2 linked regions of the Mus musculus genome follow. The protein of the gene in region 1 purifies or fractionates together with the protein of each later gene. This does not show direct contact. Links are inferred from orthologs where the notes say so. Each region holds a gene or a part of one and is shown on either strand. Other genes may lie near its edges.

Region 1 (4,102 bases):
CCCTCTGTTGACACTGCCACAGCTAATGAGTTGATCATCATAGTATGTGTCAACAAGCAGAGCCATGTTGATGTTGTCTTTCCAAACCCCTCCTGATGAATTGGCTTTGCTGCTGCAGTCCCGACAAGGTAAACAATCTGGGTGTTCCAACACGGGCCCGGTCTTGAATTCGGATACCTTCTGAAGGTCTTTGTCATTTAAAACATAAATGTAGTTTGTGGCTCCGAGATAAATATGATGGCCGTGTAGGACGACATTCTGGATGGGGGTTTCTGCCGTGAAGTTGGGGAGCTGATACTTCATGTTCACGTTCATCTCAGACTTCACTAGGGCCTCCTTGCACTCCCCATGGCTCCTCTGCACCAAGGACAACAGCAGCACCAGAATGCCAGGTGCCAGCACGGTGGGAGCCTTCATTGTGAGGAGTTGATCTGCCAAGACACATTCAGGCAAGAGCCCTTTAGTCGTCATTAGAAACAAAGAGAGAAATGGAAGCATGACTCCTCCAGCTTCGATATCAGAAATAACATTTCCTAACTGGAATTTTATTTACATAGAATGAAAAAGAAAAAAACTGCTAGCTAGCTTCACATAAAGATGTATTGTAGGGCTGGACATGACTCCACATAGTTTAATTTTAGAAGTCAGGCCACAAACGAGTCATGTTCAAGGACCATTCTGTGATGCAAACAATGTTCTGTGTTGAGGCCACACAGCAACTGAATGGCATTCAGCAGCTCAATAAGAAACACAGCACATTGTGTCTTAACCCTTGCTGCTTGCTTAATGTGGGTTTCTATCTGTGGCTAATGACTAGGTTGATGCTTAAACTTTCTTGTTTAGTCAAGTAAAGGAACTGTGGCTCAGATTCATTTATTCTAGAAATCACAGCAGGCATTGTTTCCTTGGGAGCATGTAGAATCACTAGGCTAAATTTAGCTTCCTTTTGGAAGAAAACAATCATAAATCCTAGAAGCAAGCAATCACACGCTGTTTATAGGATTTGTGTGTGTGTGTGTGTGTGTGTGTGTGTGTGTGTGTGTGTGCAGGGAAAAGGTATGGTAATAATTTGGCTATAGTTAACCTATTGTTTCATACAGACAAATGCTTAATGCAAGATCACCAGGACTTCAAAACAAACAGCAGGCAGAAATGCGTGAAAGTAAAATTTAATCTTCGGAACTGAAGTTTTAGAACTATTTCCCAGGAAAAAACAACATATTGTTCATTATCAAGCCAAAAAGCTCTTTAGTAAAAAGAACATTATTTCAGTATTCCGTGGTATGCAATTGGACCAGTTTTTCTCCCAGGAACCATAACTGGTTTGTTCTTCCTTTTTAAAAAACATAAGGGACACAGGTTAAAAACATGTGAATTCTACTGATAATAGTTATGGGCGGGGTTGGGTATTGTTATGCAAAAGAGAGGCTTTAGAAGGAAAGGTAATTACCTAACATGAGCTGAATGATGCTTAAAACCATATTTGGCACCACAGTGATGGCAAAGACTACTAACCTTGGATGTATGAAACCACACCAAAGTCACCAAGCAACTAATATGTGCATAATTCTGTGCTTACACTATGGAAAATGGAAAATGGCTCATGGTTCCTGCCTTTCACAGAACCTAAAAAAAATGGCTACTATGTAACACACATAGACTGACAATACTACCTGGCATTAAGACACTCCATACAGGACAAATCCCAAACTACAAGCATCAAGAGTCGGAGAGATGGTCCCTGTATTGGATTATGATATGAGAAACAGGCACATATTCATCATGTGGTGAGGTCCAGAAGAGAGAGGACGACATCTGTCTGACTCATTACTATATTCCAATATTGAGTACAGAGAAGCCTGAAACATAGTCTGGCATTAAACTAATATATACCGAATCTCTGTGTAAATAAAGATAAGTAGTATGGGTCAAAACCAAGAACCTTAGTCCATACTTTCTGACTTAGGTTCTCTTGCATTTCTAAAAATTGGGAGCTTTAAAGAAATGGTTGACCAGCAAATATAATGGCCTGGAGCGAAGTAAAAGAGGGCCAGAAGCAATATATTGCCCCTAAGAACAGAAAGAGATAGTGACGCATAGTTCAGTACGTAGCATTTGACATCTGGCTAGACAGAATAAAAGGAAGGTAAGGATGATGGGGAGTCATCCGGGCAGAAGTAGACTGAGTTACAACAGCATGGCAGGCAGCAATAGGAAGGTGGCTAAAAGATACAGATTTTAAGCATGCCAAGTTTTATTATGTAATGGGAACCGAGAAAAGGTCTCCCATAGGAATGATTAGGACAGTTCACGCTATTTATCAGGAATCAGGTGCTTGGAATTCATGAGGAATGAATTTTCTGAGCAGATGGAACACCTATGCCAAGGAACCGAGGTGAATAATGAAAGCCTTCTGAGGAGAGCTGCCATTATGGACGAGGGATGTGAGTGGTCCAGGTGAGACACATCTGCTTTGAGTGATCCGGTAGCAAGTGGAATTAGGAAGGGATGCAAATTCAAGACTCTGTGTAAAACAAACTGCAAAAAGCTGATAACTAAAACCTAGGTTGGCATGCTTGGCATGGTGGGACAAGATGAATAAGGAGATGGTCAGCGAGTTAAATCTGGGCGAATACCTACAGTAAAAGAACTAAAGGAAGAGTCAAGAAGGCTCAGGTCATTGAGACATCAAGAGATTGTTTCAGGGTTACAGAAGCCAGGTGAGGGTCTCAAGAGGCACCTAGCTCATACAGGAAAGAACTATCTGTTGCCCTTCAAAGAGTAGTTTCAATCCATTTAATTGCGGCTTTCAAAAAGGCTGTTAAGGTGCACGGAGTGTGTGTTTTGAGGAAAAACAAGCAGAAGGCAACAGCAGTTGTTTGGATTTCACTCTTAAATTGTAGGAAAGATGTATGCTTATTTGCAAGACTTTCCCTTCTTTTACTAACACTGCTTCAGTACCAACAAAAACAGTGCCCTGCTCTGGAAAGCTCATAGTCCATTGGTAGAGGCAAATGAGTTATCAGCTGTGTGAGTTGGGAGGACACCAGACTGTAAATGAGGTTAGAGTTCATTCCTCAAGGAGGACAGTGACTGAGGTGTCCTCACAGATACAGTGGCTTTGTGCAGAGCAGAGACCAGTGGGAGGCACGTAACAGGGGCAGGATGGTGGCAAGTAGTAGAGCCTGAGAGGTGGGGTGACAGGCACAAGTGAGTGATAAGGCTGATGATGCAATACTCCAAACGAGTATTTCCAAGATTCCAGGAGCAGAAGACTGGTCACAAGGTTCCTATAGAGGTCCATGTAGAGCCAGAGATGAGAGGTCACAGGACAATACAAGAGCAGTGAGGATTCAGAACATAGAAAGTCCATGTTCTACAAGTAAGTCAGAGTACATGAACATGTGTTTCAAGTAATGGATATAAAGGAGGGGTTAGGGATTTCAGCTGGAGGAAGAGGTTCAAAAATAACCAAAGAAGAGCATGCAAACTGAGGCCAGCAAGAAATTCAAAAGAACAGCATTAAGCTAAGATGTCTTACCTTTAAGATAAGATACATTCAACCTGTCGTGGCTACCGCTTCGCGTGCATGAAAGAGAAGAAACCTAGCACAGACAGTTGAGGACATGGTGGTCTTTGGGATCCATGTAGAGGTATCTGAGTGAGGATATAGGATTTCAGGGGATGTGTAACGAAGCCAGAAAGCCACACTAATACCAGAGAGCAAAGGAAAGCTTCAATAGGCTAAATTACTGGAAGAGGTATAAGCCATATAATAGTAAAAACAACAAAAATGTGCACTGCGTGCTTACCACATGCCAAGCGTTCTGCTACACCGTCAGCTTTCTCTCCACAGCCATCCTGTGAAGAAGGAAGTTGATTAGTATCCTCTTCTGGATGAGGGTGCTTGACAGAAGTCACCCAGTGTGAACCAAGACTCAATCCATGCCTAGCCGACAGTCGCCCATGCCCAGATGCTTCATTAACACCGAGAGAGAGAGAGAGAGAGAGAGAGAGAGAGAGAGAGAGAGAGAGAGAGAGAGAGAGAGATCACTGCCGGAGCAGGTTTCCCCATCAGAGCTCCAATCCCAGCCCTTCCCTG
Region 2 (4,102 bases), on another chromosome or scaffold:
CTGCTCTTCCAGAGGTCCTGAGTTCAAATCCCAGCAACCACATGGTGGCTCACAACCATCTGTAATGAGATCTGACACTCTCTACTGGTGTGTCTGAAGATAGTGACAGTGTATGCATTTATAAAATAAAAAGAAGTGACTTTATAGAAGTCAGCTAAGAGAGTGTTTGGGGCTCTAAGGTAAGGGTTGAATATAGGAGTGAGCATTGGAGCAATGGAAGAAAAAGGGAACGATGGGATTTGGCTCAGACCTAGGGAGGGTATAGAGATGCCACAGTTGCTCACTGAGTCAGAAAGGTGAAGAGGGTCCAGGCAAGTGGGCTGGGAATGGGGGAGGAGCCAAGCTCTGAGGCCTCTAGGGTGTGGCTTAGGAGAAAGTATTAGGTGTAGCTGCTGGAGGAATTAGCTTCCAGAAAGGGGATGGCAGAAGATGGGGCCGCAGACAAGGTGAGGGTGAAAGATGAATGCACTGAGGTAAGGCTAAGGAGCGGGCTACTGTCGGGACGGCTGGCAGAGACTAGGACCTAGGGGGTGGTTGTCCTGGGAGATTATCCAGGCAGGGTCTCAGTGTTGCTTTTTGTTACCTGTAGGACACCCCGGATGCTTTTCCATGTGGCTCTGACCACACACCCAGTCCCATGGTCAGCTGTGTCCCTTTGGAAGCCACGCCAATTCTGGAGCTACCAGGGGTTCAGCTAACAGCTGTGGCTGTCACCATGGAGGATGGACACACTATTGCTTTCCTGGGTGACAGTCAAGGACAGTTGCATAGGGTATGTCCTTAGGAAGTTCTGAGGCTGGGATGTGTGACGTGTGGCATGCTACAGGCCACCCCAGCTGTGTGTGCCGCTCCTCTGAGGGTTGGGTGGTATTTACCTGTGATCTTCCTCACATACCCATAAACCTTGCCCAAGGCTGGTTGTAATGAACCTGTCTTGCCTGGGATTCATCTAGACCAGGCTGTTCTCAAACTCACACAAATCTGCCTGTCTCTGCCTCCAAGGTACAAGTATTAAAGACTGCCTCCCCCCACCTGTCAAAAGAGAAAATTATTATTCATAAATTGTTTCAGTTCTAAGTGGAGGAAGGTCTTGAGTTTGTGGCTTTGAGCTTGGTGCCAGGCCTTGTGGTCTTTCATCTTAGGTCTACTTAGGCCCTGGAAGAAGTGCTGCCCCATATTCTAAACAGAGCATCCAGCCGGGGTCTCCTGTGAACAGAGATCTTACCTTTGATGGTACCTTTGAGCATCTCTATGTAGCAACTCAGACTACTGTAAGTCCTGGACACAGGCCAGGGGTGACTGCTGGGAGGGGCTTCTGGGCAGATACTGGGACCCATATGTGGGCGAGGCACTGGTTTTCTGACTGCCAGCCTCAGGTCCTCTTTGCTGTCACAGCTTGTGAAGGTTCCTGTGGCTCCTTGTGCTCAGCATCTGGACTGTGACTCTTGCCTTGCTCACAGGGACCCTTATTGCGGATGGTGTGTGCTCCTGGGCAGGTTAGTGTTCTATCTACCAAATCCCCGACCTGGGCTTGTGCCTCTATAACGGCTTCTTGACCTTGTCCATTGACTCTCAGCCGCTAACATGTGGGTACCCAGCCCCCAGTTCTTTATCCACTCACTGCCCAGAGCTTTAGCTCCCTGCCATAGCAGACACAAGAGCCTGGTATCAACTTCACGTGAGGGCTGTGACCAGGGAAGTCCTCAGGACTAGAGAGATGTCTCTGCCGTGTGACTTCTCGATGGCTGCCGGAGGGTCACAGTTATATGCTGGTTCTTCTTAGGTGTAGTCGCCGGTCGGAGTGCTCAAGGGACCAGGGCCCAGAGCAGTGGCTGTGGAGCTTCCAGCCGGAACTGGGCTGTCTTCGAGTGGTGGCCGTGAGCCCTGCCAATATCAGTCGGGAAGAGAGGAGGGAGGTGAATGACCAGAGTGGGCGGGGCCCCAGTGGGGAGAGCTATGGAGATGGATGGAGACCTTGGATTTTTGTGTCGTTGCATCAAATACCACATGTCCTTGCTCAGCTATTTCTCTTGGGCCTTGGGTTTCTCTATCTGTTATCAATCAAGGCCAGAGAGTATTTGGGAGGGATGCCAGCACCAGCCTGTACTTGATGCCCTTAAATGAGAGTCTGTAGCCTACCATGCAGTGGTGCCTAAAGTGTGCCCTTTGCTTTCTCGGTAGGTTTTCTTGTCAGTGCCAGGCCTGCCATCTCTCTGGCCAGGGGAGTCATATTTCTGCTACTTTGGAGACCAACAGAGTCCTGCTCTACTGACCAGTTCTGGTGTGATGTGTCCCTCCCCAGACCCCAGTGAGGCTCCAGTGCTGCAGAGAGGAGCCGGTGGGTGAGAGAAGGGGCCAGCCCTGGACCTGGGAGCCCACCCCTGCTTCCATCTTGCTCTAAGAGGTCTTACTGGGATGAGAAATAACTCTAGAAGATCCTAGATGTGCTCTAAGTCCCCTTACTGGCTCCAGGACCCCAGTGTTGGTGCTATGTCCTCTGACCCTAGTTCCTGTCTATTTGGGGTGCCAGCCTCATCCCATGTAGGTCCCCAGCCTTCCCTACTCTTCAGTTCTGGCACTCTCCCCCATTTTGCAGACCATATCTCTGTGAACGTGGAGCTCAGGTTTGGTGCCGTGGTGATCGCCAGCACCTCCCTCTCCTTCTATGACTGCGTGGCAGTTACTGCGTCTTCCCCATCTGCACCGTGAGTTCCTTACCTTGTCTGTCCCCAGATCTGGGCTCCCTTACTGTGGTCTCTGTTTCATGACTGACTGGCTGTACTGTGCGCAGGTGCCGGGCCTGTGTGAGCAGCCGCTGGGGCTGTAACTGGTGTGTGTGGCAGCAGCTGTGCACACACAAGGCCTCGTGTGACGCTGGGCCTATGGTGGCAAGCCAACAGGTTAGTGGGACTCCAGGATGAGGCATGTTGAGGGTGGAGCCTGGGGTTCCCAGGGTGAGGGTTTTCTGATGGCCTGGGATCTGTGTGCCCGCCAGCCTCCTGTGAAGCTCTGTCCTGAGCACCCCAGCTGCTTTGTGTGACAGAGTCACTGGAGAATGGCTGCTTGTCCATCCCATCTGTTTTGGGGAGGACATTTAAGCTGAGAGGCAAGAGGTGTGGTCCTGGTTCCCCACCTCAGCACAGACCCCCGGAGCCTGCCTTGCGTGCTTCTGCCTTAGAGAATTAACGGGATGTTTTTGTTTCTCTTTCCTCGGTCTTTTTCCCTCTTAACATACCCTTGCCTGCCTGCCCCTGCACTTGCCTGCTGAGTGACCTTCCTGTCTGTCTTGACCTTTCCTTCAGAGCCCACTCCTTCCCCTAATCCCTCCTGCAAGGGATGAACTCACCCCTTTCCCACCCACAGTCCCCCAAACCACGGTCACTCCTACCCCCAACAGCTTCCCAATAGAGCCTAGGGCTCCCTCCACAGCCTCAGATGTCCTACCTGGGGCCAAGCCTTCCCGGCTCAGCCTCTGGGGCCCATGGGCAGGTCCTGGCCCCATACTTTCCCCTACTTCCACAGAGTCACCTCTTCATGAGAAGCCCCTTCCTCCTGACCCCCCTACCATACCTGGAACCACTGTCCCTGCCCCCACTGGCTTGGGACCATCGACCACACCTGAGGACCTCTTGGCCTCCTACCCATTCCCCTCAGATGCAGCTGCAGTGTCCCCTGCAGAGCCTGGCCCTGAGGCTCTGCCTTCCATGGTGGCTCTGGACCAGCCCCCTGGCACTGTTCCAGACACTACTTTCCCAGGGGCCCCTGGCTCCATGAAGCCCGTTCTGGATTGGCTCACCAAAGGAGGCGGCGAGCTGCCCGAGGCGGATGAGTGGATGGGGGGTGACACGCCCGCCTTCTCCACTTCCACACTCCTCTCAGGTGATGGAGACTCAGCAGAGCACGAGGGCCCTCCTGCCCCCCTCATCCTCCTGTCCAGCCTCGACTACCAGTACGACACCCCCGGGCTCTGGGAGCTGGTGAGGTCCAGCCCAGGAAGGAGGCCTCGGGAGGGGAGGGGAAGACACAGCCATTTGCTTACCCTGGGATTGATTCTCCTTTGGGAGGGTGAGAACCTAGTGTTGCCATGGAACCAAGCAAGGTA

What was found. Proteins that work in one complex are often made in the same cells at the same time.
Region 2: the proteins of Met (region 1) and Plxnb1 purify together in Homo sapiens (co-immunoprecipitation; 3 studies listed by IntAct). This does not show direct contact. The link is inferred for Mus musculus from reciprocal best matches to the Homo sapiens genes MET and PLXNB1.

What each region holds. Positions count from the first base shown.
Region 1 is NC_000072.6:17,487,556-17,491,657, reverse strand, and holds part of Met (hepatocyte growth factor receptor precursor), read right to left. Parts: intron 3,862-4,102; 5' UTR 3,813-3,861; intron 432-3,812; 5' UTR 418-431; coding exon 1-417. UniProt on the Homo sapiens protein: Receptor tyrosine kinase that transduces signals from the extracellular matrix into the cytoplasm by binding to hepatocyte growth factor/HGF ligand. Regulates many physiological processes including proliferation, scattering, morphogenesis and survival.
Region 2 is NC_000075.6:109,101,432-109,105,533, forward strand, and holds part of Plxnb1 (plexin-B1 precursor), read left to right. Parts: intron 1-589; coding exon 590-772; intron 773-1,142; coding exon 1,143-1,271; intron 1,272-1,395; coding exon 1,396-1,496; intron 1,497-1,783; coding exon 1,784-1,916; intron 1,917-2,181; coding exon 2,182-2,338; intron 2,339-2,596; coding exon 2,597-2,705; intron 2,706-2,791; coding exon 2,792-2,900; intron 2,901-3,302; coding exon 3,303-3,977; intron 3,978-4,102. UniProt on the Homo sapiens protein: Receptor for SEMA4D. Plays a role in GABAergic synapse development. Mediates SEMA4A- and SEMA4D-dependent inhibitory synapse development. Plays a role in RHOA activation and subsequent changes of the actin cytoskeleton.